Linked DNA regions of Oreochromis niloticus. The protein of the gene in region 1 purifies or fractionates together with the protein of each later gene. This does not show direct contact. Links are inferred from orthologs where the notes say so. Each region holds a gene or a part of one and is shown on either strand. Other genes may lie near its edges.

The links.
Region 2: the proteins of klhl22 (region 1) and emc7b purify together in Homo sapiens (co-immunoprecipitation; 3 studies listed by BioGRID and IntAct, counting the BioPlex papers as one, with this or other methods). This does not show direct contact. The link is inferred for Oreochromis niloticus from reciprocal best matches to the Homo sapiens genes KLHL22 and EMC7.

The regions. Positions count from the first base shown.
Region 1 is NC_031977.2:10,198,855-10,215,558, reverse strand, and holds klhl22 (kelch-like protein 22), read left to right. Parts: upstream 1-8,159; 5' UTR 8,160-8,450; intron 8,451-8,671; 5' UTR 8,672-8,723; coding exon 8,724-8,971; intron 8,972-10,898; coding exon 10,899-11,064; intron 11,065-11,148; coding exon 11,149-11,472; intron 11,473-11,571; coding exon 11,572-11,981; intron 11,982-13,313; coding exon 13,314-13,506; intron 13,507-13,640; coding exon 13,641-13,874; intron 13,875-14,203; coding exon 14,204-14,545; 3' UTR 14,546-16,102; downstream 16,103-16,704. UniProt on the Homo sapiens protein: Substrate-specific adapter of a BCR (BTB-CUL3-RBX1) E3 ubiquitin ligase complex required for chromosome alignment and localization of PLK1 at kinetochores.
Region 2 is NC_031980.2:16,340,699-16,357,109, forward strand, and holds emc7b (endoplasmic reticulum membrane protein complex subunit 7), read left to right. Parts: upstream 1-9,860; coding exon 9,861-10,093; intron 10,094-12,193; coding exon 12,194-12,313; intron 12,314-12,434; coding exon 12,435-12,573; intron 12,574-13,156; coding exon 13,157-13,237; intron 13,238-13,511; coding exon 13,512-13,661; 3' UTR 13,662-14,424; downstream 14,425-16,411. Other genes in the region: katnbl1 (KATNB1-like protein 1), read left to right, coding at 4,314-4,427, 4,566-4,603, 5,354-5,618, 5,743-5,858, 5,955-6,005, 6,723-6,812, 7,088-7,192, 7,929-8,022 and 1 more. UniProt on the Homo sapiens protein: Part of the endoplasmic reticulum membrane protein complex (EMC) that enables the energy-independent insertion into endoplasmic reticulum membranes of newly synthesized membrane proteins.

The DNA.
Region 1 (16,704 bases):
TTGTTAACCTTGTGTTGTTAGAGTGGGTTTCCACATCAAATCCTGGGACTTCAGCTCTCAAGCTCCTCCTCTCAAAGTCTTGAGCAATTTCCTCTCACTGGTGACCTCCCAATTCCAGAGTAGGCTTTTCCTCCTTGAACCCAGCACACCAACAGTTTCCAATCCAGTCTTTTTATCACAACAAATCCACAGGAACCCTGATTAAAATGAGTCCTCCCTTCAGTGTCATCTGATTTTTTTAAAAGCAAAACCTTCCAGGCCAGATTAATACTATTTTCCTTTAAAATATTCACTTCTCTCACTGGAGTCTCCAAATTTAAACCAGCTTCCCTGTTGCAACTGTGCCCTACAGAAAACGAAAACTCCTTCCTGTTTTCTCCTTTATAGATAAGGCCTAAAACCATTACCAATCAACTACCGGTACTCCCTGTACTCAACTCCAAATAGCTGGACTAGAGTAGAAACTCCACTCCTACATAGGTGTGGCCTATAAGCACAAAAACACCAAAGCATGCAATAATTGAAATGGAAAATGATGCCAACCCAATGTTTGGTGGGAGATTCTCTCAATTATTCCATCATGTCACATTCTGCAACGTTTTCACCACTATAGAAACTCCTGGGATTTTTTTGTCAAAGAAAATATAAATAACATAAAATAAATCTTCTGTGACAAAAACTTTCTGCTTTATAATTACAGGATAGTCTGGTCCACTTAAAGTGGGCTGTATAGCCCACTATATAAAATGAGTTTGACATCCCTGATTTAAAGCTTAAAGTCTATGCACTCCTTTACATTTTGTATCCTTCACATTTACTCCCCAGGACCTTATGTTTGACACCCTTGGCCTAAAAATCAATAGCCAACAATAATACATTTTAAATATAACAATCCTACATTATAACTTTTTAAAACAAAAACATATTCATCATGTGAATGAAATGGTAACACTAGATAAACATGAACTTTGCTTTCAAAGCCACAAAGGGAAAATCTATCATGACCTTTATTTATATTCAATTTTCTCCTCTATTGTCTGCTTTTCGTGTCGTTGCTTGTTTGTGTTGGACACCCGATCGCTGCCTGCTCCCTTTGTGTCGTTCGCACCGCCTTGTAAGTCTACTAACCTCCAGTAAACTACATATGAATCGAATGTGCCTTTTTTGGGTGCTGTGCTTTTAAATTCCTGTCTGAACTGTGACACAATCTCCCCTGCAGTATCGCAGCCTCTTACATGAATCAAGCTGAAGTGATCCTTGACACCATCACAGCAACACAGTTCTACAAATCCCCCGAGGCTTTAAATAACCCCAGCAATGAGCAAATGCCACAATGCCTCAGGTAGCTTGCGATGACAAACAACCCTCATCAGTTGCACAGATCACATCTGACATGGAGCTCACCCCGGTGCTCTTCGCTTAAAATGCAACTTAAAGGAGCAGCACACGGTGGGCGGTACATATATAAGATGTGCACATTATTCAGCACTGACAAGTACAATGTTCAGCATTTCAATAAGTCACACATTTATGTTGTAACAGATGGATCACATTGGTGTTGTGATGAGCCCACAGGTAATCATCAGCTGACTCTGCATGCGGTCCCCTCAAGTCTGTCGAGTTTGTTAGTGTCTTCCAGCTAACGGCTTTGTTTTCACTGTTTCGCTTTGTTATCATCAACCTTGGTTTTGGTCTGCTCGGGGACAGCGAAAATAATATTTTAAAAAGGACAAAATGATTTCAACTAGATGTGAAGCAGCCTGATGCTTCATTTGGAAGTCAGTGGAAGCTAATGCAGAGTTAGAAGTTAGAAAAAGGTGAGCTTTTAAATGTAATTGAAACATAAACATGCCTCACGATCAGGTGAGAGACCACACGTTTTTCACAAAAACTTGAATATATTGTTACTGTCCTTCACAGTTATAGTTTTGTTTAAGAGAATCCTTTTTTAACTGATTGATAAAATTTTCTGATCTGTACAGAGTAGGCCTGCAGTCATGTGATGAAGAACGTTTTCTCAGGACAGTGCACGTTTCAGCAGCTTATACAACCATGTTTAGCAGCAGTATGACTTCTTTACACTCTTCTTTGCATCATTGCTTCAATTCATTGAGATTTGCAGGCATTCAGGTATACACGGCTCTCTTAAGGTGCAACCACAGCATTTGAGTGGTTTGACTGGGTCATTGCAGCATCTTGATTCTTCTCTTTTTCAGTCATTCTATTGTAGATAGGTCTGACTGGGATCATTGTCCTATTGCATGACCTAATTTTAGCAAAGATTTAATTCATGGTTGACTCAGTGACTGCAAGCTGCCCAGGTCCTAGACCTGGAAAGCAAACCCAAATCATCACCCCTCCACCACCATGCTTACAGTTGATATGAGGTGTTTGTGCTGATATTTGGTTTTCACCAAACATGGCGCTGTGTATTATGGCCAAGCATCTGCACTCCGGTCTATCCAAAGGACATTGTTCCAGCAGTCTTGTGATTTGTTGCAACTTTGCAAACCTAATCCATGCTGCCACGCTCATTTTAGAGAGAGGAGGCTTTCTCCTGACAACCCTTCCCAACAAGTCATCCTTGTTCAGTAATTGTACTGTCATGAACTTTAACATTTAACATGCTGACTGAGGCCTGTAGAGTGTGAGATGTAACTGTTGTGTATCTCTGAACGTTGCATGGTCTGATCTTGGAGCTAATTAGTTGAATGCTCCAGACCAGCAATCTGACAAAGTGTCTGTTTTTATAGCAGTGCTGACAGTTGGTGAAAATAATTTGATGACATGCAGCATGTCTAAGGCATGCTTAGTTTTTTCCCAGAAGTGCACAAAGTGGGATTGTATAAAGTTATGACCTTCTGCCAAGTTGCAGATTAGCTTAAGCTAACCTAAAGAAAAGCTAAATTAGCTAAATCACTACCCTGGATCTCTAAACACTGCCAAACGCCTCTGGTGATTGAGCTGATATAAAAAATTCACTGTATATAAGACACATAGCCCATGTGACGTCACCAATTTGTTAGCCACATCAGTCGTGAAGCCTCAAGCTAAGAGCAGTTTAGCTAAACCCAATGTAGCGTAACATATAATATTTGTATAAGTCTTCTAATCTTTGGTATTTCCCTTACTTAATTCACCTAATTTATCTGTCTCCAAGCCACAGCCATAATGGAAAGTCTGCCAGGTAACAAATAAGGCAACGCTAAAAATAAAACTCATTTCAATTTTGATTCAAGCTACTTATAGAATTGCTCTTCATATCATGCGGCAACCTAATTTTAAAACAGAGGGGACAAATAGACTGAGAGGGCAAAGAGAAATAAATAGACAAGTGAGGAGCCCGAGATTGGGGTCTATTAAATCACAGCTGCATTAGCAGCGGGCATTAGTCCCTCTGACCCTCTTCGTCTAATTCATATAAATGTTCTGCATGTCCTCTCTGCTTTCTCAAGCCACATATGTATTCTGCTCAGCTCGTGTCTGTGTGCAGCATGCACAGTCTTTCTTGCCGCCTGGCTTTCGCCTCCCTGTTCCTTGTTGCTGGCGAAGGATTCCTAATTTACACTAATATTGTCACTGCAAATAAAATGGTAGATGTCACACCTCAAAATAGCCCTCCTCCCAATGGCAAGAGGTGAAAACTGAATTCAGAGGCAGCATAATATGATAGCGGGGGGACAGCAAGTTGTTATTGATCCACTCAAGCATTTGTTCAATACGAGTCTGCTGACACATGGCAGATATGACCATCTGCCCACTCGGGGTTCTTGGCCACAGCTACATCGCCTCTTTGCAAGATTCGGAGAGGATGCCAGTCATCGTGTGTTACTGTATGAGGCTGAAATGTTTAAAAGCATCATGCATCACCGATTGTGTGATTGTGCTGTGTCCAGCATGATGCAATCAAATCATATCATACACATGCAAAACCAGAGACATAAAGACTTTTTTTTACTTCTTAGATTTTCCATTAGCAGTAAAGGCAAACTGTAATATGGCACGCAGGCTGTGCTTCTCCTTTGAGAGCATGTGTCAGAGGACAGTCCAGTTGAGTTATCTGGTGCTATCAAGCCTCTGCTTGCTGTCTTGTATAATGTTCTCCACAGGGAAATGCCCAGCTTCTGCCAAGTGTGGGCCATGTGTGAAAAAGCAATGATCCACCCACTGTCTGTCACTGCAAGAAGCTATAAGCTATAAGGCTGCTGCCCTGCATTTTACGATGTCTGAGTGAACAGTGCAGAAAACTGAGTGACTTGTACTCCCTGTTTTCTTCTTTTTTATCGAGAGTGAGTGAAATCCTTCCACCCACAGTAGCAAACACAGTTGGGAGGCTTAAATATTTCACCATTATTAGTTTTCTCTAACTACCCCAGTGAGGCAGGGAAATCTCTCTGCCTTTTCCAGAGCTGGCTCGGACCTCAGAGACAGACAAACCCGAGGAAGGTCGAGCCACTGCTTTAGCTGACTTCAGCTGCTAATATGGTCACCAGTTAATTTCACTATTTTCCCATTCTGTGTTAATTCTAATCATTCCTCAGTAATGTGTTGTTGTTTTTTTCTTTGTATCCAAATAAGCCCACTACAGTGTCCAAATGTGATTTCTCACCACATGATTCATAACGACAACAAAATACTGATACAGATCTGTCCAAATCTCATGGCGGTGTAAATGACCCTGCGCTGTTCATCATTCTGGGAGAGCCGTGCATCACGGAGCAGCCGCCGCCCCAAGACAGTTGGCCGGCTTCACCAAACAACACACTGAAAAGTTTTGTCTTGCAGGATTGTGGTGTGGAGGAAAATTGATTGCTCGCTTCAAACAGCCAAGTAACCCTGGGAAAATTGCACCTGCCACCTCTGTCAGTTTATAACCACCCTTTCGAGCAAAACACAATTCACCTGGCACCGCTCTTGCTCCTTTATAAGCCGTCTAATTTTACAGTCTTGCCATGCATTCTTCGTGCTCTTACGACAGGTTTTAGCTGATACAAACTTTGCAGCCGTGGTTCTCATAGTACGGGCAACTGGCCACCAGAGGTCCTCACTAAAATCTGATGTGCCCTCAAGGCTGACAAGGAAAGATTGCCCTGTTGTGGATTTCATTCACCTGCAGTTAGTGTGGTACAATGAAGCAGGGCAAACTAAACCTTCCTAACAAATACATCTTGCGTCTAGACGTATGATTTAGTCATAATGGATTACAAACACCATCGAGATGTTTTTATATGATGTATTTTTCCTGTGGAGCACTCAAGTGTATGTTGGATTCCTAAATAAGCCCTCAGTTATCAGAACTTTAAAGCCATTCCTAAAGATCCCCACTGTTATGCATTCAAGTCACGTGTGAAAGAAATATTCACTTTTTTTTTATTTTTATGTTTTTCTGCCACATTTTACAACTCACATCTCCTGCGCCAGACTGAAGATGGCAGTTAGTTGGCATGGAAACCGTTTTAGATGGGGCGCAGGTAGAATGAATGGCACCACTGGAGCTCCACTGTCCCAAACTAATCAGCTGTATTGTCTGTTGGTCTGCCAGCTCCTTCTCTTATCAGATAAAGTATAAGGGGGCCGCGCTGTGGAGCGTACCTGGTACTTTAACTTTAACTTTTTCCTTTTTTGTCCATCAGCCTGCTGAGATGCATTTCCTTGTTAGGGTCCATTGTGTCCATAAGACATGCTGTACCTGTCCTTACTGCAAAACAGCCTGGATGTTCAGTAACAGCAGCATAAAATGCCTTCTTCGAGGATTATTTTGATGAAGATTAATAATAGTTGCGGGATTTGCGTAACAGGGTTGCTAATAAAAGCTCAAGGTCATGGACTGGGCCAGTTTATGTCTTTATAACTGAGTGTTTGTGGTATACACCCACAGTTAATTCTGTAAATGCTGCCCACTTTGTTTTCATTATGTTGTCATTTCTCTTCCTCTTCCTATGTGCGTCGTCTGCACAGTTTAGCTTAGTTTTTTCCTGATGTGAGGAGATGCTGCTGTGCTGGTATAATGGAATGCCGTACTTTCTGTAATACCGCACTTACTATACAAAAACGCAGGCTTTTGGATATTTCACATCACAAACTCTTTTATTACTTAGTGTCCACCTGTGATTATGTAAATCTAATCAGCAAGACATGTGAAAATTATTAAGCAAATGCCTCTTTGAAGTGATATGTGTGATCTGCTTGACACCTGATGTTAGGAGTTAAAATGAAACAAAGACTTAGTGTTGCCGTACATTATCAGCCTGAAGTCAGAGGACAAATAAGAGGCAATATTGGTTTTGTAAAAACTTTATTGCCTGGTGACATATTTTTATTGTGTGTGTGTGTGTGTGGTGGTGGTGGTGGGGGGGGGGGGGGGGGGGGGGGGGGGGGGGGTTACAGTGATGTCACACCACAGTATTGGAGATCAGAGTACCTCTAATGAAATGATTTGCTTATATAGCCAATTAGCTGATTGTTGTAAAATAAATAAATAAATAAATATGAAAATGTCTCCTCTCAGTTTTTTTTTAAATCAATTTGGTCCAATCACTTCTGCAAAGCCTAAAGGCACAAGAGAAATAAATGGAAATCTGACAACAACTAACTGATTAATTGAGTGCTCGAGTCTTTCAGGTCTGGCGGTTGAAGAATGACCCTGACAGAAATACAGTAGTGTATAGGTGGTGCGTATGCTTGCTGTTCAGACAAAGGCAGCAGGCTCTAATATAGACAGGACTGTGGGAGGGCACTTCTTCACCCAGATGGAAAATATATATGCAAACAAAAATTCATTTGGTGTTTATAAAGGGCATTTCTACACCCGGGACAGAAACCCCTCGGAGAAGCCCCACTCTCAATTTTCCCCATGCACCGTGCCGCTGTGTACAGTGTATTGGACAGAAAAATACATCAAGTGATGGATTATTCCAGCAGTGTATTTTTCCTTCCTTTTTTTTGCAGGTGGAAAAATAACTGCTCTGAGTGTCGGGGAATGATGTATGCAAAGTGAAATGTCAGCAGAAGATGAATGAAACTGTAAAGCCCAAGAAACATGGAAGCCACAATAAATTAAAAACAAAAAAAGCATCATGACTTGCTCCCTTGGAAAATCTATCTGGTAGCTCATGCTTCTAAAACTGTGGGAAATCAATCTGGGATGAAGGAGAGCAAAAATACTGGAGGCTTAAAAAAAGAAGAGATATGGCTTGAAGAGCTTTATATTATCTTTTTGCATTGTGTAGCCATAGCCTAACCACTGCTTTTTAATTGGTCAGTCTATGTAAGAGTTCCCAAAACACAATAAAGTAAATTGTACACAATTTGCCCTGAGCTGCTGTAGATGTGTAACATTTTTGCCTTTTTTTTAACACCCTTACCAAAATAAACACAAAAGTGGGACAAAGTAGTAAATATGCTAAGCCCCTGGTGCAGGTGTGACAGGTAGAAGCTTCAAAGGTGTTTGAGAAGGAAGCAGCGCCATCTTGTGTCAGAAAATATCACAGCATGTATTTGTCTTTAAAGGTAGTGTTAAAGAAACATTTTATTCATATCATTTTCATTTCTTTTTTAAACGACTAGATTTAATATAATGCAGATACATTCAGAAAAAAATAATATTACTGATCATTTTTAGAATAAAGTCGAAATTTCGAGAAAAAAGTCGAAATGCGGCTGCTGTATACCCTCTACAAAATGCCTTGTTGTAGATGAGTTAGTGAAAAAAAAACTCATCAGCTGTCGTGTGATACAACATACATCCTCTTGTTACACGAAGGTGTGACCATTGATCGCATCTGTCCATTACCAGCCATTTCATTTTGTACAATTCATTCTTCTAGGCTTGTGTGTGCGTATGTCTGACCAGATGCAACTTTCTGCACCATCTTTTCAACTGTAATCTCCACATTTCGACTTTTTTTCTCTAAATAGATTTTCGACTATAATCTTGACATTTCGGCTTTATTCTCAAAATTGTGTTTTGTTTTGTTTTTTTTCTTAATGTGGCCCATCGTAAAAAATGGTCATGTCCACACACTGAACACTGCTTAGTACCGTTTTAAAAGCTGAAGCTCTAGCTTTATTTCTCGGCAATGTGAAAGATTTCTCTGATTGGTTCGATTTCAGAAATGGGTGGGACATAGCACAGCAATGACCAATGGAAGTTGATCTAACGCCAAAATACCAAAAAGTAAACAGACTTTGTTTTTATGTATCAGGTGCAACTCAGTTCGCCGAAGTGAAGGTGTTCCTGAGGCCGTGTAGTACTAGACACCCGTCTGGTTTTGAACAATACGAGGACTCTTCTCTGTACAGTCGCTTTGGTTGTGTTTTACATCCTGCTGTTACAGAGTGCGTTGCACTAGCTGGCGCGCTAAGTAGCCTCTAGCTTGTTTTGGCTGCTGTCTTTTATACGAAAGTAACATTAGCTAACAGCTCTGCCGCGGAGTGACAGCTAGCCGAAGGTAGGGAGATTTGTTTGTAATTTATATGCTTTCTAACAGTTCTTTGGTTTCATGTGTGGCATTTATCGGGCATTTAATGTGGTATAATTCTGTAATTTCACACTGACTGTGCAGTGCCATTTGCAAGCGAGCATTGTCACCCACACCGCCTGTTTAGCTTCTAGCTACATTTTTCTTCCTGTTTGCACCACATGTCGCTGTGCTGTTTGATTCCACTTTAGAAATAAAGTGAAGACAGCTTTGCGTGATGTATGTATCAGGCAGACAAACGCGATGAAGCCCGAGCGCCGCTGTGCTTTCATGGCTGAGGATGGAGCTCTGAGTCCAGTAGGGGGACGCGCCGGGTCATCGGGCCGCCTGCGCCGACAGTCCTACAGAAGTTCAGAGCATTTCTGCAGCCTGCTGGACGGCCTACTGTCTCTCAGACACAGTGGCACCTTGTTTGATGTTGTGCTGGTTGTGGAAGGTCGCCAAATACAAGCCCACCGTATAATACTGGCAGCCTCCTGTGATTATTTCAGGTAAAACTCACAGGAGTTATTTTTTCTTTTGCTTTGACTTCACTTTGCTGTTTTCTCTCTGTGCACACGACAGTACTGTATGCAATCTTTTGTGCCTGTGTCCACAGAGATCCAAAATTTTCATACAAGAGCATTCATATGCACGCCATTGACCGTCAAAATAGTCAGCCACCTCCAGGCTACTGAATGAATAAGTTGTTTCCTATAACACACACCACAACATATGCTAATGTGTTTACTAGCAAATCTGACCAGTTACTGTGGCACCCTCATGTCACAAGACAAAGCCTAGGCATCTTGCACAGTCCAGTTGAAACCAAATGTATCCTCAAGCTCAGCAACATTGTCATATGATCACTAGTGGTTTGCATATTTTCGGTTCTGCACCAGTCACATGATTTCTTGAACCTCAGTGCTTTGCCCTCAGAGGCCTTGAACTGCACCTGTGGTTTAGTCTTTCCCTGCATACTGTAGACACATCAAAACTTCTGTGCAGGTGATTTAACTGTTAAAAAAATTAAAGAGTTCCTTCTTAGTTATATAACTCTGGTTTGTTTTTATTATCGTCTAAAGCCTAAAACTTGAAAACATTTAGTGGTAATAAAACCAGGGTCACTTGTTCCTTTAAGTCCACTAGCTTACAAGGTCAGCATAGAGCTATTGTGCCTGGAATACAAATGTCACCACCAAATAATTTCAAGTGTGTTACTGTGAGCATAGTTACTGCACCTAACTTGTTGGTATTTGTTCCTGGCTATCTGTTCGTCATATCACAGTCAGTGTCTGAGCATAACTCACAGTGTTCTTATTCACTTGAGTTACTCCGTAACAGCCTGGAAATGTTAACAACAATGGAAACATTGCGGATGTCTGTGTGAAGCAGAGATAAAAAGATGGACTCGTCAACCCATCCTTCTATTCATTTTATTAACTGCTTATCCAATTCTGGAGCTGGAGCCTGTCCCAAATGTCATAGGGTGACAGGCAGGGTACGCCCTGGGTCGATGCCAGTCCGTCACAGGACTCCCACAAAGAGAAATAAACAACTAAACGTACATTCACACCTGGAGCTGGTTTAGATTAAATAGTTAATCTAACATGCATGTCCTTGGATTGTGGGAAGAAACCACAAATTCACATGGAGAACATACAGACCAAGCCAGCTGGCAGGTTCAAAGCAGGAACCTTCTTGCTGTGAAGAGACAGCGATGATTTGACTCACTCGCACTCGTTGTAGGGCAGCTGGTTCAGCCGATTGCAAAATTGCGCCTGATTTTAACAACACAATCAGGCCCAATGTTGCATCTGTGTTTTAATCTCTCCAAATGTTCCATCAGCTAGTTAAACCAGTCAGGTGAGATAGCTACAGTTTGTTTTAGGTCTGTGTTGAATTTTACTTTTACTTGCGATTTCTTTCCTACATTATGTCTCAAACTAAAACTGTAAGAGACACATTTTAGAGGTTTCACTGAAAACCTCAGCCTGCAGTTTGCATAAGCCAAGAGTCAATGCAACATTTTTGTCCTGAATGCTTGTTTGTAGTCAGTGCAGGACTGCAGAATATTTTCAGGGTAATGCATCGAGTCAGTAAACTCTCAGGCTCTGCTCTTGACAGGTAGCCCTCTAACCCCCTTACAGATAATGATTTTCCATTAAGCATTGTCATATTAAATTTCATTTCACTGGTAACCATGACCTAAAAACTGCGGATATAGAATAATCAGTTATATTAAAAACAATTTGCTGGCTTATCCTAAAATAAGGCTTTTTCTCCCTCTGCCGGCACAATTTTTGGTTTTTCTCCCATACATTTGAATTCAACGTTCTTTGAGTTGCTACGTCTCTCCCTTTTGATAGGGTGTGAGTCTTATCATTACTGGGCGACCAGGATGACCCAGCATAATACTTTATTACCCTTCTCCACTAGGGGGATGTTTGCAGGAGGCCTCCGGGAAACACAGCAAAAGGAGATTGCAATTCATGGAGTGTCCTACATGGCCATGAAGAAAATACTTGACTACATCTACACGTCAGAGATCGACTTAGACCCAGAGTGCGTGCAGGAAGTCCTGATAGCTGCCACACTTGTACAAGTAGGTTGTTGTTCCTACTTCTTTCTTATTTTGTTTTTTTTTTTAATTTTTTCAGCTAACCTGTGCAGCTTTTGTGTTTTCCAGCTCGAGAATGTCATAGGCTTCTGCTGTGATTTCCTTTTCTCTTGGATGGACGAGAACAACATTTTAGAGCTGTATCACCTGGCCGATCTCTACGCACTGCAACAGCTGAAGGCCAAGGTGCACTGCTTCATGCTCAGCAACATTCAGACGTTGTCCCGAACAGATGTGTACCGACAGCTGCCCCAGGATGAAGTGTTCAGGGCGCTGAGCAGCGACGAGCTCCAGGTGAACAGCGAGAATGAGGTGTACGAGGCAGCGCTTCACTATCATTACAGTCCCGAGCAGGTGGAAACTGACCAGGTGTATTTGCAGGTCAGTCCAAAGGTGTGTCTGCATTTATACCCATCTATCTAAATAAAGCACACATCTTAATTACACTCTATTAAAGTGTTGCATTTATGTTTCTGTCTCCCTCACCTAAAGGACAATCTCAAGATGCTCGACGCAGTGCGGTTTTGCCTGATTGAAAAGCACATGCTGCAGAGATTGCACAACAGACTGAAGCAGTGTCCACTGAAGGATTCTGTTTCAGCTGCACTGCGCTACCACGAACAGGAGCTCCTGCAGCCTGTCCTCCAGACTCCTCTCACCCAGCCGCGGTCCACTTTCCACTGCATACTGGGCTTCGGGGGAATGTTTAGTTCCAGCTCCCTCGCATACACCGATCACCTGTTTCAGGTGTTTCACCCAAGCTGGGGGGAGTGGAGGAGTCTCACTGCAGCTCACACTCCCCGGATGTCCAACCAGGGTATCGCCGTGCTCAACAACTTTGTTTATCTTATTGGCGGGGACATGAACACCAGTGGATTTCATGCAGAGACCCGCTGCTGGAGGTGAGAGCCTATCATACACCCTTTATGGTTCATTTTTGTGGTTAAGTTAGAGCTGCAGCTGATTAATCTCCTTAATCAGTTTATTACTGTTGAGTTTTTAAATTAAAAATACAGGAAGCAATCTTACAGGAGGCTCTGGACTTTCATTTGCATGATTTGATCCTCGAGACGATAAAAGGAGAGGAAGGAAGGAGTTTGAGGATCTTTGCCAGCAGATGGAGTTTGCCTAGTTGTCATGGAAATGTAGATTTTCCAAGTTACAGTTATTCATTATCTTAAAGAACTTTTTCTCCTTGTTTGTTTTTTAAATGATGTTCACAGTTTATATTTTGGCAACATCTGTTTAGGTACATCCACACCTCCAGCATTCACAATACTGTGGTGATTTGGGAGCTTTGAAAGTTGACCCAGCTGACCCAGCTGCAGAAATATCAGGGTGGGAGTTTTCTTCTGGACAAGCAGAAAATGACTTGTCGTAAAAACCACATTAGCTTGAAAAGCAGGTTCACACACCTTTTGTGATTTCATCCTTTTTTGCTCGACATCCTCCCATGTTTGATGCTCTCGGCTTGTCTCCATTATGTTGCCGCATGACTGCCTCATACTCAGGTGTTATTTTCAGTGACGCTTTCACATCATTGTGAGCCCGAGCAAAGAACTCTGGTCTTTCAGAGATGTTCTTTAAGTAAGAGAACCTGCTCTTCCTGTTTACCGGTCTGAGTGGTTAATATGATGTGCTTACACTGCTGTTCTGGTGAGGGAGATTATCTTTAGTAGTAGTTTGCCACAACAGCGACCAACATTAAACCCCACAAAGGGCTCAAGCATTAATTAGATGCAAATGGGGATACAGGTTTGATTCAAATAAATAAAGCCGAATATTCGTAATTTCTGAGCTTTAACACCAGTTGACAGGGCTGGTGGGAGGTGGAGAAGTGAAGTGGGGGGAAGAAAGTTGACTTCATGCTGAGACTTTGCACACAAACATCCACAACTAAAAATTATTTACTAATGTTGCCAGTGCCTTTTTATATGAATATTGGCAAATGAAGGAGTGAACTGAGTACAGGTTAGAGTAAAGGGGGATTGGCTCTTTGCTTTAAGATGGAAAAAAAACAACAAGACAAATTCCTATCTGCTGATGAGGATTGTGTGATTTATAAAAAGAGCTGCACAGAAGAGCTGCTAAATCCTTAAAGATTTTTAAAACAATATCAATAGAAACTAACGGTTCTGTTTTGTTTTAATAGAGTTTCCTCTTTGCTTCCAGATCAGCTCATCTTTCATATAAGTTTTTTCTTCACTGTTCTGAGACTCGTCTGCTCTTTCCAGATATGACCCCCGTCACAACAAGTGGCACACCATCCAGCCTCTGCAGCAGCAGCATGCCGACCACTGTGTTTGTGTGGTGGGCGGCCATATTTATGCCATCGGAGGGCGAGACTACAACCACGAGCTGGAGTCGGTGGAGCGTTATGACCCACACAAAGACACATGGGAATTTGTGTCTCCTCTAAAGAGAGAGGTATGGGAACCTGAAGGTGTGAAAGATTGAAAATGAAGAGTGCATATGATTCTTCTACTGTCCACATGATGGCGCTGCTTACTCACATTTGTGCTGAGACCTACATCCAGTGTAATACTAGTCTACCTTTTCAGGTGTATGCCCATGCTGGAGCAGTGGTGGATGGAAAAATTTATATAACGTGTGGGCGCCGAGGCGTGGCGTACCTCAGAGAGACTTGCTGTTTTGACCCAGCAGCCAATCGCTGGACAGGGTGCGCAGAGGGCCCGGTGGAGCGGGCGTGGCACGGCATGGCAGCCGTTAACGGCCGCATGTACGTTATCGGAGGAAGTAATGACGAGCGCGGATACAGGAGGGATGTCCTGAAGGTATGGTCATGAGTGATCGCAGCTGTTTATCGTTGGCTCTCTGCTTCTCATGCAGTTTAAAGTATTGCCTCTTTTTTAGCCTGCTCACCTGTTTTTTTTTCCTCCTATAACATGAATTTAAATTTGAAAATATTCCACGGCCTTTTCGAGACCGACATTATTTTGCATACTAATACAGGCCAGAAGCTTTGACTTCTCAAGCTAATTAAATTAATTTCTGTGCGAGCCAGAGCGGCATCTTTTGATGCTCTTCCTGCAGCACTTGTATGAAATAAAGAGTAATTTATTACTCCCTGTTGTTTTTTTTTGTTTTTTTTCTTCAATTTCAGGTAGCGTGCTTTAACCCCACAGCCAACTCTTGGTCTTTAATGTCCCCCCTCCCTGCTGGCCACGGAGAACCCGGCATAGCTGTGCTGGACAATCACATCTACGTCGTGGGAGGGCGTACGCACGACAAAGGCAACAGGATGAAATACGTTCACGTGTACAGCGCCGACAAAGACGAGTGGAAAAACGGCACGGAGTTTAAGGCGCACGTCTCCGGCCTGGCAGCCTGTGTGGCGCTCATGACCCCCGCTGTGATCGCCCAGGCCAGAAGCTGGGAGCAACGCACCAAGGCTTCATGGGAAGAAGTGGACATGGACAGCTCAGATGACTCAAGTGTGGACTGAAGCTGCCGTGTTAATCGGATTCCATCATCATCAAGGACCTCCTTGCGATCTCTTTCTGTCTTTTTTTTAATTAACTCAGCATGTTGAGTTTCGGATGTATTTAGTTTTTTTGGGGTGTCGCATGCATGTTGACAACTCGGAGTGCCTCTGAACCAAAGGTGTCATTCAGGACCTTTTTCTTATTTCTCTGATCTGACCTTAGGTACTCTTGCCCCGCCCGGGAATCTCTTCTCTGAACAAATGTTCACGCTGCTGTTTGTTACTGATCGCTCGTCATTATTTCCTTAAAACCACCAGTGTTTCTGCGACGCTTATCACAGAGAGCAAAGAACGCTTTCGAGATTAGTAGCTATGCAATAACATGGTACTTTGGAGTAAAGACACGTACGTGGGTTTTTCCTTTAAGACTGTGGGGCACCCAGTTATTACTTTGGGAGCAGTATTACTGTGTGGCTAAATAAACATAAAAGGGACACGTTGGTCAATGCTAGCAAGGACAAGTCTGTGGCGAGACTGCTGGAGAAACTCAAAACCCGACGATGAATCTCCAATGAAATCCACAACTACCAAAACAAGAGAGTAAAAACTATGACCAGGCATATCCTAGACCAGAGTGCGCTCTTCTGGTCTGACAACTTGAAGCTGAACGGGTCACAAAGCCACTTGGAGATTAGAGAAGTGACTTCTTCCTTATTTCTATTTTCTGCAATGCCACACACTGAAGTTGTATTCTGTAGTAATAACAGTTCCTGTTTCAAAAAAAAAAAAAAAAAAATACTATAAAAGCGGTTTTGCAAAAAAACCCCAAAACCAAGCACGTGTTTTATCTGTGAAAAGAATGGCAGGGGTCACACAGACTCAGCTCTCATTATTCCTCAGCTGGTTCTCTGCATTGTCAGTTCTCAACAATAAACATACAAGAAGTGAGTTTTTGTCTCCAGCCCCCAGACAGCTGCTCAGTGGAGCTATCATCTCTCCAAACCTCTGAATGATCGTTACGTTGTGCAAACGTCGTGCCTTGTTTTCTTTCTTTCATTCACTCTTAGCCTGAGTTTATATGTGATCCCCGTATGTCTGAACAGAGACGAGCCTTAGCTATCGTGCCTCTGATATCATAAATAATGAGTAATTCCAAATAATAATTTAATTTATTTATGTCTGTACCTGGATGGGGGGGGGGGTCTACAGATTGAAGTTGCCATTTATTTGTAAATGAAATGTGAAAATTAACCATTACTTTATTTTTGTGCATGTGTCCTTTCACTGATCCGCTCATCACTTGAGATAGTCTGTATCCTAATGATGGTTTGTTTCAGAATATTTGTGTTCACCGAATCACTGAACTGTGTGTGTGTGTGTGTGTGTGAGAGCGTGAGTGTGTGTTGCCTTAGTTCATTGCAAACTCTGTTTCACACTGGACTCAACCACTGTTAACTCTTCATTTGAACCCACGTAATTGTAAATGTACCCGTCTTTTCCACGTGATTTGTTGGAAACACTGTCAAACATATGCAAACAAGATAACTTTTTAAATTTGATTAAAATATATATACGTCCTGTTTTTGTCACGTCTGAATGTTATAGAGGGAAAAGTATTACATGGGTTTAAGAATGGACTGGATTTTTCAAGCACTGAGCTTGAAGCACCATTTAAATCGTCTTGGGGAACAAACGTCTACGGAACTGAAGCTGACTTCTAACAAATATTAGTTTTGTTGATTTTTTTTTTTATCATTTAGAAAAGAAGTATTTGGTGAAAAAGTTACAGGAAATTGTCAGGCGTGTAACTGAGAAGCAGATGTTTTCGCTTCGACAAATCTCTGACTTGAGTTTGTCTTCACTGCTCTTTTTTTTGTTTGTTTAATTTAAAGCCCATTTCATAAATCTAACGTCAGCTCCCAACAGTTGATTGTGCTCCTTGTTTGAACTGCTGCCTCCTGCCTTTTATTCCTCCCAGTCTCCACCAGTTCCTCTCCATTTGGCTCTGAACTCCATCAGCTTTATGAAGGCTGACTGCTACTTTCCTCTCTGAGGCTGTTTCATCTACATCTGTTACCCCCCACCAGCACTAAGTGTGTGTGCTCCCTCCCACGCACCCCCACACCCCTCTCTTTCACACTATTGTGCCAGCCCCCAGCAAGTAGTCTGGCAGGATCTGC
Region 2 (16,411 bases), on another chromosome or scaffold:
TGGTGTATGACTAATGTTCTGAATATGAACATTAGGATATATTGTAAGTCTGCAAATTTTATTCCTTTTGCTTGTACATAACATTTTTTTCACTCAAATAATCAAAGAAAGAATGCCTCCCTAACTTGTTAAGGCTTAAATTGCATTACTGGTGATGCTCAGTTACAATAATCAAATTAGCCTTGTCTTTAAGCTAAAACATCTGCATGATAATTGGTTTCATACTGAGACAATGCTCTCTTTAATGGCTAACATCTGCTCACAAGACTGCCCTGCTCTTATATTACAGCACCACCACTGTGTAATTTATATGGCGTGGATGCAATAGCACAAACAGCTACGTATTCACTGCAAAGTAGAGAATTATCTCCAGCTTTTGCCTACGTTGATACTTATTTGATAAGAATCAAATGTGAAAAGACAATGGGTCGATGCTTGAAGGAGCTTTTCTCCCTGCTAGTAAGACCCTAAAAGTTTCCGAAGATTTAATGCAAATCCACCAAATGCAAATCCTTCCGTTTTAAAGCTCAGACTTGTTACTGTGCGATTTACTTTTGCCTCGGGCAAAAGTCAGAAGCCATGTGGGGCCACAAAGGTTTGCAGGGTTATTTAAAAGAAGACAAACAAGAGTCAGCATAAAGCAGCCAACGCTTTAAGCAAGCATTCAGTCTGAAAACTCTCAAAACAACACATCTGATCCAATTCTTAGTCTCTTTTGTCATGCCTGTAAAAGCACTATTGTTTTGAATATTGACAGCTTTTGTTGGATGGCTAAATAGGATTTGAGTCTTTTAGACTACAAGTGTAGAAGAAATTTACCAGAGATTTGCCTAAATTTACTTAAAGCCTTTGTCAGACAATGGGAACATTTTATTTGGAGGCTGTTCATGTCCATTAACAGAACATTCATTTCGAATTCTCTCAAAAAGGAAAACAAACCAAAACATTTCCAAGATTTGGTATGTTTGGGTTGGTACATGCAGCTGTGCTTTGATTCCTAGACATGATCAACCATTACAGCCACCAGGCATTTTAATTTTTGTGGCTGTCTGGGCAAAGATGGTTTAGCAGAGTCTTGGACCATTGCAGGTTTTTCAGTGTGCGCTGGCATGCATTCTACACATTTCACAAACCTATTATACCTTTTAGAGATTTTCCAGTCTTTTACACCTTTTCCTTGTAATTGTGGAGCATGTTGTTTCCAGTGCCACTGCAAGATGAGTTGAGTGGTGCCTGAGTGGTTGACAGCACCAGCCATAGTGAGTTATTTGCATTGTTTTTTATTTTCATTCACCCTTTCAATGACCATTCACGGCCTACGTAGACAGTACAATTCCAAGAAAATTACCTCTCCATCAAGACATAAATTCTTCAATCACTTCAAATTGCTTTGTATTTGTTGGCATTTTCATTGAGTTTCAGTGTAGCCGGCATGTGCCAGGAAACTTTCCCTGTTTTTAAAATTATTAAAATAACAGAAGAACCAGGCGTTCGCTCAGCCTTGTAAAATGAGGCATACTGTGAGAGGAATCTTAAGCAAAAAACACAGAGAATAGCCTGTGTGCAGCACCTATTTGTCATGTAATGGCTGTGTGGCAGACCCAACTGTAGTTCTCAAGGGACAGAACATGAAATTAATTGTGGCTTTATTGACGTCTCTCACAAAAAATATAAAAATCTCAAACAGTAACTGGGCAAGAACAAGGAATCTAAATACCAGGATGTTTTTAGGGAAACTTGGAAAAGTGGAATGCACAAACACATGGGACACGGCAACAATGAACAGAGGGAAACAGAGACAGGACAGAGTGGCTGGAAACTACAGACATAAGGAGGGAGGGGAAGTAAACAAAACACAAGACACAGAACTACAGTTACCAAAATAAAACAGGAAGCCACAACCGAACGGGTAATCACGACATGGGGGAGTGACGCACAAGGACCAGGGAGCATAGAAAGACAAAGGATGAACACAGATGAGACTGGGACACAAAGGAACTCAAAAGGGAACTAACTAGAAGCAACCTTACATCAAAAGCAACTAAAACTAACAAGAAGTGTAAAGTTAAGTAATGGTTAACAGACTGAGCCTTGCGAAATAACATAAAGGCAAATGTAATGTCTGTAACCATGGAACAAATGAGAGAAGCCCATTAACCACAGGTCCAAACAGACTGACTGGTCGAGGTCATCATAACAAACAAGCACTTTCAGTTATAGAATTCAATCACAATTTCCAGTGGGCCAGCTTTTAGATATATAACAAATGCACTACAGTATGAATGCATATTTTCAACATATAGGTGGTGATAGTGTTCCAATCCTTTAACAAAACACAAAGACAAACTGCTCAGCAATCAGAAATACATCAGCAAAGTCAGTCAGTAACAACAGTGATATAATCCAAAGTGGTATACTTATCCTTCTCTCCTCTCTTCTTCCTGTTTTTATAGCCACTTTTCTTTTTTTACTTTGCCTTGCCTTGCACAATGTATACTGTAGACACCTGCAGAAAAACAAATTGTTGCATAGTTGCAACAATTTGCAACAATTTGCAACTATGTAAAAATGGATAACAGGTTCAACTGCATTTCTCATAAATGACAGAAAGCAAGGTCAGGATGTTCTAGAAATACACTTCTAAGCATCGCCATCAAAACACCTCAGAAAAATCATCTGTTTTTAATCAATAAAGTGGAAAATGATTGAGTACATAGTTGCAAATAAAACTTAGTTCATAAAGAAAATGTGTACTGTATAAATAAAGTTAGGCTTTGGTTCGCAGGTAGAACCATGACTTAAACATATAGTAGAATGGTTATAATCCACCTTTCACTAAATATAGTGCACATGTGGTCCATACAATGAGGAGGTACCCACTGAGTTATTTCAACTGGGCTTTGGAGCTATCATCCTGGCTGCCATGTTGGAAGTTACACTTTTGGCATACTTTTAAGGAAAATTACAGTCTTAGAGACTATTATAGTCTTTACAGTATGTATGCATTTACTTTTACTAAACTAAAGCAGTGCTTTTGTTTATTCACATTTGTTTGTGGGAGCCTGGACGCTTTAATAAATGTACATGCTACACAGGTAAATACAGGTAAAATCTAATTAAATAAGTTTTGCAAAGTGTGAAACTTTTCCAGTTTTTCAAGAAAATATATTTTTCTTAATGACATGAGTGGTTCCAGCCTTTCTACACAGGTCGGGGGATGTCAAGTTAAGTATTTTTAGATTTTAGGTTTGAATAAAGATGGAAAAATGCCACATTTATCTGGGGTTTTTTCCCTTTCCATTGTGATGGTTAAAATGTAACATAAACCCAACAACAGTATACTAATTATAAGCTCTTTTTTTATTTTACATTGATTTTTTTTCTAAATTTATCCTTATTAAGGATGGAGAATAATTTAAAAAGAAGTGCTACTACTTCACAGTTGTTTTCAGCTTCCGCAAGACTGCCTTCTTGCATTACACGCTATTTGACACCAGGTGGCGCCACAGCACAAAGTTGTGTTGTAATGTCCAGCAGTCGTCGCTAGAACTGCAGCTTTTTTTTTTTTTGTTGCCAAAATCAATCCCAGAATCCTCACGCACCGGCGGTGTATTCATTTGAATGGTAAAACTGTGAAACGCTTGCGATCGTGCACAGAGGGAGTTGCTTTAGTGTTTAACTAGTTTTTCACGTTTTGGATTCTACACATCTGAGGAGCGATCGTAACACCTCACAAAATGAATCGGTTGGTATTCAACTCGGGGGCGTACATGATAAAAGTGACAACTTTACCTCTAACGAAGGCATACGTTCACAAGGCTAACCAGCTAGCTAGCTCGCACTAGCGGCCCAGCTTGTTGCTCTTTACGTCTCCCGTGTTGTCTTGTGAGTTGAGCTAAATGCTAACAGTTAAAGCTAACCTAGACATTACAGTGAGATTGTGGACATTATTTTAATGGGAGGCGTCACGAAATGCAACTTTACACCTCTTTTGTCATCGTTTATTTTCACACTTGCAAAGAAGGAAACTTACAGCCCTAACTTTTACAGCATACAATGTTTTTGCGACTTTCAGCCATATGAGCTAACGGGAGCTAACGCCTTTGCAACTAAAATTGAGCATTTTGGTTTAGTTTATCTTGTTTCACTGAGCTAATTTGAGTCAAACTGCTTCATCTGGGAACGTATGCTCTTGACATTTAGCTGGCCTATTCATAGTCGTGCCACAACATAGTCCTGGCATTTGGCTCCTTAACCTCGACTTATACCTCTCAATTATTTTCCAATTTGTTTCTCCAGCAGTGTTCCTTATTATGGCAGCTGGTAAGCATGTTTGGCAACGGGAAGTCCTGAAGGTCAACCACAAAAACTCCAATGGCTTTCTGCGACCCAGCGTGCCTAGTTCTGCTGAGAAGAATATGAAGCAGGTATAAGGATATAATGGGAAATACCATGAATAATTGTGTAAACAGCTGCCCATGTGTCTTTTAAATCCTGGTGACTGTGAAGTACAGTTCAGTGGCATTGTAGCAGGAGTGGCCTCATCCCCTATCCTTTTGTTTTAGGTGGATATTATTAATAAGGAAGAATTAGATAAAGACAGGTGAGTCTCTGATCCACATCTGAGGGGGTTCATCAAATTATGATCACTCACTGCCTGTGTCCCACAGATCATCCTTGCATCCGCACTAATATGTTTTTGTTTTTAAGCTGTTTTAATATGAAAGTAAAATCTCCTTTTGTACTAAACCCTCTGTAAACACATTGCCTTAACCACTCATCCACACTGGGTCTGTGTGCTGGTGTAATTACGAAGCAGTAGGTTAGTTGTTTTTTGAAAATATATTGAAGAAGGAAAAGCAAAAGCAAATAGTAAGACCAGAGATTTTTTTTTTTTTTTTTTTTTTTGTTTGCTTGGATCAATGATAATAGGGAGCTGTCGCAAAGCAAATACAGCAACATATTAGAGGGCTACTGGGAGCTGTCACTGTATGACGCCATGGAAAAGATACACATGAAAAGCACGAAATCATAGAACGTATGTGAGAGTGACTGTGATATTTTGGCTTTATAATTATGACTGATAAGAGCCCACAAAGAAGCAAACATAGGTGTCTGGGAAATGATGTTGACTGGAGGGGCAGAAACAAAGTCTGGATGTTTAGGGGTCTTAAAATTAACAAATGTCAACACAAAAAACATATTAGTGTGGATGTACAACCAGTCACTGAACCATTAAAGCACCTTTCATTTACCATTAACCATTATCATGGTGGCTTTAATTTGTATTTATGTTTTTTTTTAACCTGTGACCGCTTTGCATCTGGCCAATCTCAACTTCTCCATTTGGCAGATTTCAGGTGCATTACAGAGTACACAGTCCAGGAAAAGTGAAGCGGGCGACATCTTGCAAAAGAAAGAGTTGTGCATTGGCGGAGGTGGGCGTAAAGCTGCACCGCAGATCATCAGATGTAGGCCGTTTATGTGACCCCGGCATGGCCAACAAGGAAAATGAGCTGACCTGCTCCGATGATGTCCGGGCCTGTGGATTTCCGGTGAACTCTGCAGAGGCCTCCAAGATGGCGGGGGCCAGCTCCAAGTACAGTGATTTTACTGAGGTGAGAAACAGAGCTCGAGCACCTCATTGTTTTTATTTCGTATGAAATATGAAGGCTTGTTGATTGAAAACTGCAACACTGAAAACACTGAGTTCCAATTTTTTCATTGTTTGTCTATACATAGCTCTCAAAGGACCATGAAGCTATGACCCAGGTTCTTTTTGGAAGAAGTCTAAGACTTAAAGTAGCCCTAACACTATGGCGAAAAAGTGCTAGTGAATTAGTGGCCTACCTAATAAGGTAAAACACTTGTGGCTACTGTTGGTTGATGGTTGTGTTTATTCTGTGATTACACACAATTTGTCATCTTCACCTCACATGTTTGTGGTTTCCCAGAATTCAAGACACAGGTGTGCTGCTTGACTGCTTACCTGTCTTAACAAACAAGTAAGTAATGTTATTTTTTGTTTGGTTATATACATTTTAGCTTTTGAGTGTTTCAGCTTTGCCTCCAGTGACCGTGCTGCACATTCATCCAGTCAGCTGTTAATATACAAAGATTGTACAATTTTTAAAGCAGGAAATAGTCATGTTTTAGTAACAATCCTGAAATCGCAGTATACAAGCATGCATAGCATGATACCTATATGGAGCTGTTGAAGCATACTGGCAAAGTGAAAACTGTAATGTTTCAAAATTGTTCAGGTGAACTGCAAATCGGTTTATAGTGGTTCGTTTTTTGGATGTGATTTAGTTACTAACAGGGCTATGGTAAAGATTGGCTACACTGCTATCTTACTGTCAGCTGGTAACACCACGTTTTGAAAAGATGTTTTCTGATGTTAATATAAATTTAGGCCATCAAAACAATCTTAACCTGCAAACCAGATTAACCAGAAACGTTTAAGTTACATAGCTTATTGGAATATAAAATATCCACTTTTTTCCTACTTTTAAGTTGAAAAATAGAATAAATAGGGTCGATGATTTACTGGGATATAAATCAAACTACTTAAAACCAAACATCACTGCAGCTCTGACATCTTGTTAGATTTTTCTGTTGTTCTGCAGTGGACATGTTGGCCATTTTTCTTATTTTTCTTCTTCATGCCTGATTGCTGACGATCACCTCATTTGAACTTGTTTTATCTCCACTCTCATCAGCCTTCAAACAGAAGCACCATGTTTGTCACTTGGCTGCTGTGTTGACCTCATGCCCCAAGTCAAAACAATCCTTACCAGTAAATATGAAGAGTAAGTTGCAATTCCATCTAATAATAGCTATCTTTTTTTTTTTCTTCTTGATCATTATATGAAGGTGTGCTGAGTTTAAAGCAGTTAGATTTGTTGTTTATAAACCTAAAGATGATTGTGTGCTCCTCTAGGAAGTTTAAGCTTGTCTGATAAATAGATAATGAACAGAGGAGAGCGCAGCTAAAGCCTCTTGAAGGAGTCGAGAAATTCTTTTGACTTGTAAATCTCATATGTAATAACATTTTGAATTCAACTAACTGTTCTTTTTCTGACAGACACATAACTGTGGGTTTACACTGGGTTCAATCCGTCATCAGGAAATGGTGGCCAGAACTTTCTAGAACTGAAAAAAGACTGCAGGACAGTTGTGCAGAAGACAGGTGAGCCCTGTATGCTTTAATAAACCTAATGCAACCTCCAGAGTTTAAATGTAGATGTTTAAAATCTTAGTATTTTTCTAGTTTAACTGTCTGGTGAGTAATTCAAAATAAATCTTGGAAAGTTGGATCAATTTAAAGAAAAGAAATAATGCATGGGGATAAAACAAACAGATATTTCATTTTTAAGATGCATATTTGAAATCCAGTAAATGTTTTTAGTTATTCACTTTTGTGTTGTTCTTATGAATATAATCTGCTGAACTCAGGCATGCTAGTTGGCCGTGTTGTCACAGGAAACATCCTGTTGCTTGCTTTCATTTTTTAAACATTCGTCATCCAGGCAGGTACGCCCTTATGTTGGATCATAGGCAGTTCAAAAACAAAAAGATGATGTTATCCTTAAACATTTCCACCAAGACTGTGCCAAGACTGTATCTCTTTTGCACTTTCCATGTATTGGATCAGTAATTAAATCAGATTAGATTAGATTAAACTTTATTGTCATTTTACAAGTTGCAGTTCAAGGCACCAAATGCAGTTAACCTCTAAACAGAAACCAGATAGACAATATGCACAGGACATGAATATAATACCAATATACGTATAATGCGAATATACAGAATGTGAGAAATAAAAATAATTACAGTGATGTGATGAATGAATAATACTATAGCTAATTAAGGTTATTTATCATTGTCAGTAATCACCATCAGTAATGTTTGTGTGTTTATTGTAGGAACATGGAAGTCATGAAGCAGCGGCTAAAGGACTTGTGGAAGGAAGGAACCCGATTATGTTTGGTTCCAGGAACTACGGGAGAGCTGGCAAAGGTGAGAAACATTACAACTGTTCCATCCCTCATAAGGGATTTTTTTTTTTTTTTTTTTTTTTCACCGTGATATAGGATATAGGTCAGAGTGAAGACCGCTACTGTTGTAGTATGGATCATTTATACTAAAGCAAACCATTTGAATTCTTGTTAAAAGTAAATGATAATGATATAATAGAGCTGCATTAACATTTTTAGAAATGAGTGTTTTGTCACACTGATATTTCTGTTGCAGAACTGTTGTCAGGCTCCACAGGTGCTCCTGCTGTTCTTTCACCCTCTGTTGATCTTGGGTGGATTCAGCAACCACTCCCATACTAAAAAGAAAAGACAGATCCACCATAAGCTTTTGTGGTTGATCTTTTTTCAGTCTTCACATCCTGTTTTGTGGTGGGATGAGAAAAAAAATAAAACCACAAAAGATTTGTTTTATTAAATCTTTTAAAAGGAAATGCATTCACTAATTTTTACATGTTTGTAGCAGCTGAAATGTCAAATTAGCATCAATTTAGTTTGAAGTGTTGAGTGATCCAGTTTATGTGCATTTACTAGCTCTGACGACTTCTCATGTGCTATCTCTGCTTTGTGTTGCAGGGCATCGAGGCTTATCTGTTGCAGCTGCCCTGACAGTTGTCAATGTAGCACTCTCGGGATGTGACCACTACCGTCAATTATGGCTGTGTTTCAGACTGATAATGGTGCAAGAGAAATGGACCAGTTGCTTTTGCTACTTCAAACTCAAACCTCTTACCTGGGACTGAACTTGACAATTCAAACACTTCCCTCAAGTTTGAGCTGGAAACTCTGAAGGGAGGGCCAAGAGAGCCTTCCTGGACAGCAAATGACTGCTTCACATTGAAGTGGATTGTCTTTTTTTGAGGGGCATGTTTAGTGGACCTCCATGAGACTGGGTGTAATTTCGCTCTATGAAGTGCCAAGGTCTTTGTCTCTCACTACACCACTCTCTTTCATGGAATGCAGATGCACTTGTGGATGTTGTTGATGTTTTGCATCTTGAGTTCTCCGGATGAAGGAACTTGAATCTGCAACAGTCTTAAGTTATTAGAGCTTGTTTTTCTTGTTTTTTTTTCGTTCTGCTTCTTCCTTTGACATTTGACTGTGTAATGTAAAATGTAAAAACAAGTGATTCTTTTAATCATCTTTTAAATAAATTAAAAATGCAAAGTTTTTGTTTGTTTTTTGTCTCCAGATTATCAAATGGTACTGGGATGATGTCCTGTTAAACTGCAGCAGAAATAATCCCACAGTTTTTTGTTTTTTTTAACTGGCTAAAGCTCATTAAAATTTTGAAAATACCGTTTCGGAATAATTCATGCCAAAGTAACAATAAAGGTAAAATTATCTTGCTCACTAAATTGAAGTGGCTAAACAGGTTTTTAAACATGCTCCTGCAGCGTTAATTTGACCTCGTGTTCTTTTTTTTTTCTTTTGTAAGAGTCTTTATTAAAAATGGCTTGGTTTTCAAAACTGCATTGCTAAACGGAAAAAGGAATTATTTTATAATACTAGTTTTGGGCTTTTTCAAAATTATAAAATGTATTGGCGTGGGAAACCAATGAAAATACTTACTCTGCTTTCTAGTTCAATTTAAAATTTCAATGAGTTTTATTTTGAGTTTTAAGAATAAAAGGGAATCTTTGTGCAAAAAACGAGCGAGTGGCGTTTCTGGTTTGTACAATAAAGTTTTTTGAAGTGACGTCATTTTCCACAGAGACAGCTGATGCAGCGAGGCTTCCGCTCCTTCGCTAAACAGCTCTCGACTACATGTTGATGCAGAAACGGTGAAAAACGATTTTAGTTTATTAAAGACGAGGCACTATGTGGCACAGGGAAAGAATACCGCTGCTACTGGCTTTCGTCCAGTCTGTGCTCGTAGTAGGGTGGTGTTTTACTGAAATGGAAGCGGGGCCTGGCGCAGCTATGTCGACGCAGACTAACGGAGATCGGTTCAAAATCGAGGGAAGAGCGATAGTTCCCGGAGTGAAAACACAAGACTGGGTCTCCACGGCTAGAGTGCTGGTAGATGGTGAAGAACATGTGGGATTTTTGAGGTAAGAAATATCCATAGTTATACCGGATAACTAGCTAGCATGGTACGTGCTACAATATGTGCTAATGCTACGTAGCATTAGCACCTAGCCATTGCTAGCTGGTGGTTAGGGTCAAACTCGAAGTCAAACCCAATAACGACTGCATCTGCCGCAGGCAGATGGCAGGTACCAAATGTTGTAGATCATGTACAGCTTAACATTTCCTTTTGTAACTCTTGTCCGAGTGCCAGTCAATTAGCGTTTCATTTCAACATGAGGCCTTTTTGGTCCTGCTACAGCGGTAACCACAACACAAAACGTCCACAAGAGACTTGTGTATATATTATCTATTATATTTCCCCAGCTAGCATATGTTTATGAGAAAACACCAGTACTAGCACTGGTTTGCTGCACAAACATGTGTTGAAGGCATAACATATTATTAAGCATGTTCCATAGTATTTGTTTGTCATGTGTGTCGTAATGTACAAATAAAAGTAATATATCATGTTATTTAACCCTGCTATCTTTAACCATGTCACCATATCATCCGTAATAAAATAATCATTCATGTTCTTCTTAGCTCACAAGGGTTTACTCTATTGTCCTGGCAGTAGTTTTAATTATTGTATTACTAGTGCAGTAGTAGTTTTTTTAACCTAAGATACGAATATAAATGATGGCTACTACATAAATTTATCTGTGATAAAAGTATAAATTCAAGGATACTGGATGGAGCAAACTTAAAAAGACATTCTCAGGTTCTTGTTTCTACAAATGCATTATTATTAGAAGAAGAAGTAGTAGCATTAGTACTGTTGTTGTTTTATGTGTCTCACTGTTAGTTCCACCCCTACTGGCTCTATTAGTATATCAAATTATGTACATAGATTGTGGCCAAAGGAATGATTTTGATGAAGACAAATTTGGTTTACTGTTTTGTTTTGTTTTTCACATACATTAAAGATAGAGAAGTAGTCACTTATAACTATACAACTATAACAAAAACGTATTTAAAAAAATAAGTCTCTGATTATTCATAGAGTTATCACTATATTTTCATTTTTAATAGGTTATTTGCACCACGGAATGTAACAATGCACTTTTTCATAGCTTAGTTTATTTGAAAAATTAAACAAAAAATAAAACATTTACATTATGTAGTAGGTAAACACAGACAAAAAATAAAACATTTACATTATGTAGTAGGTAAACACAGACAAAAAATAAAACAATGTATAATTAATAGATTGTATATAAGAAACTCATCATTTACACTTGAAAAGAAGCATTAATTAACTTGCTGATGGCACACATACATGTAGTTATATATAACTATGCATTTATATGTATACTAACAGACATACTCCATAATCTTTATGCCAGCTTTTGTAAACTATTTATGTATATACTCTCACACATGCAAGTATATTTACATATATACATACATGTAAATATCTTCATACACATAAATGCAATTTTGAATTGACATTTATATACCACATGAGCCACTAAACATTGTTGTACGGCACAGATAAAAGCACAAAAAGCTTTCACTGTTGTCCATACTGTTTAAAGATAAAACTTTATCTTCACATTATAGCCCTGGTTCCCTACCAGAAAACATTTTCTCTATATTTCTCAGTAACAGGGACCCTAACCCTTATTCAATTCTTCATGTAGTCCTTGTGCAGTTTAATATTTTACAAGGTCCAGAAATTTTAACATGTTTTAGTATTTCTTTCTTTCTTTTTATATCTCTACCATAATGCAGTGTGTTTCATATTTCAAGTTAATAAGCATAATACTTGAATTCTTAGATACTTATAAACCTAATTAGGTGACCTTATGGATGTCCCGCTTTCAGATATTTAATTGAAAATTATTTTTATGGACTTATTGACTGGCAAGACCTTTAACATTTTTGCCACATTTGTTTATTTATTTGTCTTAACCATTTGTATTTCTGCTTTAGTAAGATAGTTTGACAATACTTTGCTATTTAGTTCATTCTCCATTTATTTCAGGATTAATATTTTTAGGTTGAACTAATATAGGTGTACTTTTTTAAATTATAAGCAGCTGCTGTCTTGAAAAATTTGCTTTATGTTTTTGTTACAGAACCGATGGGAGTTTTGCTGTGAACGATGTCCCCTCTGGGTCTTATGTTGTTGAAGTTGTTACTCCCACCTATAGATTTGACCCTGTCCGTGTTGATATCACATCCAAGGGTAAAATGAGGTATGGCCACTAGAGTGAAAAACCCAAAACATGCATTGTTCATGGTGTGTGAGCACACTTTGAAAATTAGTGGTTGGCCTATGGCAACTCTGACCCACTGAAACAATGTGTGATTTCACAGAGCACGACTTGTGAATTACATCAAAACTTCAGAGGTAATTCGCCAGCCGTACCCTCTTCAGATCAGGAGTAGTGGACCTCACAGCTACTTTATGAAGCGAGAAACCTGGGGCTGGACAGACTTCCTTATGAACCCAATGGTAAGAAAATACATTGAATAAATGGGAATTGCATGTGTATGTCACAAAAGAAACATTTCCTAGGATCCCACCATTATCCTAATACTCTGATTAAATATATGCTTTCTACCATTTGTAGAGTCCATTGGCTGTAGCCCCATTTAGAGAACTACTGATGTTAATGAATTTTGATAAGCTGGTACACAATACTGACGATAATGAACAGAAGTTTCATGAGCATAAAGTAATATTTCCATTCCTTAAAGTGTGCTTTTTTGCTCATTTCTACTGCATATTTTTATACTCATGAACTCTTGAGCAGCTTTCCATCAATCAGAGTTGAAAATAAACCTGATTTATCTTGGGTAGTGAAGGCCATCCACTGTCTGACACAAGCTTTTTTTTTTTTTTTTTAGCTCCTTTCCTTTTTAAGGTTGCATTTTCCTTATGCTAGCCTTCTTTTTCCTGATTGGATGGCCCACAAACTCAAAAAGAGAATGTTGGGCATCTGTGCTGAAAAAAGGAACTGTAAAAACAAGTTGTCAAAGAGGAATTCTTGAATGAATTTGTTACATGTCATTTCATGTCCTTGTTGCTCCTGCAGGTTATGATGATGGTTCTGCCCCTGCTTATCATTGTTTTGCTACCCAAAGTGGTCAACACCAATGACCCAGAGATGAGAAAGGTATGTTCATTGTGCTGTCTCTCTGAGCTAAATGGAAGCTGTTCTGGTCGCTTTATTAAGGATAGCACTTTCTCTGAAAGAACAGACTTTGTGATGTTTAAAATCCTAACTCTATCCTTGTCTCCTTTTGAAGTGCTTATTGTGCTAAAGTGTTAACTGTGACAGATATGACTGCTTGTGATACATTTTTAACATCAGAGAGAACATTGAGTCTGTACGCAGCCTTTCTCTCTCCATAAACAGCTGTTCATTCTCTGCCTCCCTTTCTTTACAGGAAATGGAACAGTCCATGAACATGCTGAACCCCAACCCTGAGCTTCCTGATGTCTCTGAGCTCATGACCAAGCTCTTCTCTGGCTCCAAAGGCTCCAGCAAGGCAGGCAGCAGCAGCAAAGGCACCAGGCCAGCTGCCAAGAGGAGGTAGTACTCTACATGCCTCCTAAAAATCTGCCTAAAACGAAAAGAGCTTGATTTATATCATGGAAGCAAGGTTTTAAAGTGTCATTTTTTTTCTCTCTCTCTCCCTCTCTCTGGGTTTATTGTACAGATTTCGTTAATATTAGATGTTTTGAGCACATCTGGATTTCTAATATGCTATTACAAACTGAGCAAAAAGGTTTTTTTCTTAGTTTTTTTTTTTTTTCCCCCCATATTGCACTGATAACATTTGTTGCGAAAGCTGTTATTCTTAATTTGCGCGATACTTTCTACAGGTGACCCTACTACTCATCAGTCTTTTCTGTGCTAAAACCTCCATTGTATATTTTCCACTGCTGCTACTTCCACTACCTGAAAGAGAGCATATATACACAATTCAGAGATTTTCTTGTTTAAATAACTTCAGTAATACGACTGTGAATGAAGAGAAATTGAATTTTAAGACAGATAAATTCTTATTTAAAAACCTAGATAAATAAATTGCCATGGTATATGACAGCTGTGTTTTTATTTCACACCATTCATTTGTTTGAGTGAACACGTGACTTTCTCATTTTATGAATTATTGTGGTGAACTGTATGGTTAGAATTCACACGCTGTACATTATGTGCCTGAGGTGTAAAAGTTAAAATGATAATCACTGGAAGTACAAAGAGAGAAATGTATGGTTGCTTTTTAAAAGCTCTACAAAGTGTAACTGGTTTTACTTTGTAATAAAATAGACATTAAAGTCCATAGTTAAAATCATTATTGTAGAATGTGTTAGCACAGGCTGACAGGACGTGTTTTAAAGTGAAACAATAATGAGTAATGTTATTAAATATAGAGACTGACAAAATAAGCTCAGCTCAAGGTTGAGTCACTGGCTTTCTCCTGAACTTTGAGCCATATATGTTCATCATCAGCATTTATCTATTTGTTGAGGAGATAGTCCTTTTGGCACAAAAGCTCCGTTGTTGCTATGGTTTTGATTTTGGCTTCAAAGTTACCCAGAAGTAAGAAAGAGTGGGTTTTTGTTTTGTTTGCATCATATGCATCTATACAAGATTATATTTACTGTATATTCCCGCTGTTTCACCGATCAGTGCTTGGCAGTGGTAACGCAAAAAGATGAATCACCTTGTCTTCCCTTTTTCAGGGGAAAACATTCTGGCCCATCAAGGTAGGAGAAGCATGTGGGTCAATACAAGCAAAAAAAAAAACAAGTTTGCTGGCTGAGTTGAATTCCAATTAACTGCTTAAGCTTTTGAGTCTTAGTGTTATGCACGAGGGCCCGCTGGGCACAATCACTGTCAATAATAACCACAGGGCTCGAAAAATGCTTTAAAGTCAGATCAGATGTTTATGATGCACAGAATGTGTTTTGGTGAGAAGTAGTGAATATAAATATAATCTAAAAGTTATCTCTCAAGCACAGAGTAGACAAAACATGTCGTGAATTAGGTCAACTTGCATGCAGTTGCATCTTTTTCCAGTCATGCCCCGTCCACAGGTAAATGGTGATGGTGTGACACAATTTAAAATGAGTAGTTTTCATCAAATTGCCTTTTTCCAAGGTTAAGAATGAGTTGCTGTGTGAAGAATGCGCATGGCAGTGTCCTGTAGATTACTCATGCTAAATGAGTTAAGTGAAAGCATCAAAATAAAAGAACGCTTGTTGTTTTCCCTAATACTTTTCAAAGTTTCGATCATGACTGTGGCTCTTAGTCCAAAGCAATTTAGTGCTTATTTTGACTCTAAATGTTTTATTTAAAAGCTAGAGCTAAACTGCTAAAAACTCATTTTTACCAAATGTGTGGAAATATTAACTGAAGACTATTTTCAGCTGCATTTTGGTGTTTTAGGGTTTCATGGTTGCATTGTGTATTTGAGATTAAAGAGAAACTACAGTACCAGAGTTCATTCAGCACATCTACAAGCCTATTTCTGCCACTGGAGGGGAAAGGAAAAAAAATGCCACCCATAATTTAAAATTTGGGGTTATCTCAAAATTTTAACTAAAGTTTAATATTTTTTTCTGAATTCTGACTTATTTATTTTGAAATCCTGAGATACCGAACTCAAAATCTTTAAACAATGATCTAATATTTTGACTTGTGGTGGGCAAAAAATGTTGTGGTGTTTTTTTCCAGTGGTGGAAACAAGCTTCCATAAACACAAAGGTGAGTTCTCCAGTGAAATAGTTTTTAGTGTTTCAGTGACGCCACAGGTCAACTGAGCTTTATCAGACTTTGAAAACGCCAATTACTGTTAATGAGATCAGTTAATTAATGGCTTTGTTCTTTTCATGTGGTGTTGCATTAGAGCAAAGAAACTTTCAATGCAGAACAACTGTGCTGACCTGGACTCTTGGGACCAGTAAAATCTTCGGTGACGTCTGGGATTTGTTTAGAGTCATGTCGTTGGTACATGGCACATTCGGGTAGTCAATCAACCATTGGAGGACGGTAACGATTTGCCTCACCTCTCAAAGAAGAATTATTGACAAATGAGATAGTCTTCAACTTGTGTGTTGGTCATTAAATGTTTGCCTTGAAGTTTGTATTTTACTGTGTATATTATTACACAAAGACACTTACAGAAGTGCAGACAGACAGTAAGCACAAGCTCCTTCACAAAGGAATTTTTGCCACTATGAGCAGAACAAAAGGCACAGAGTTCAGATCAGAAAGATACATTTAACATTACATCATAATAGACAAAAAAAGTGAAATAATTTACAACATCACTCATCT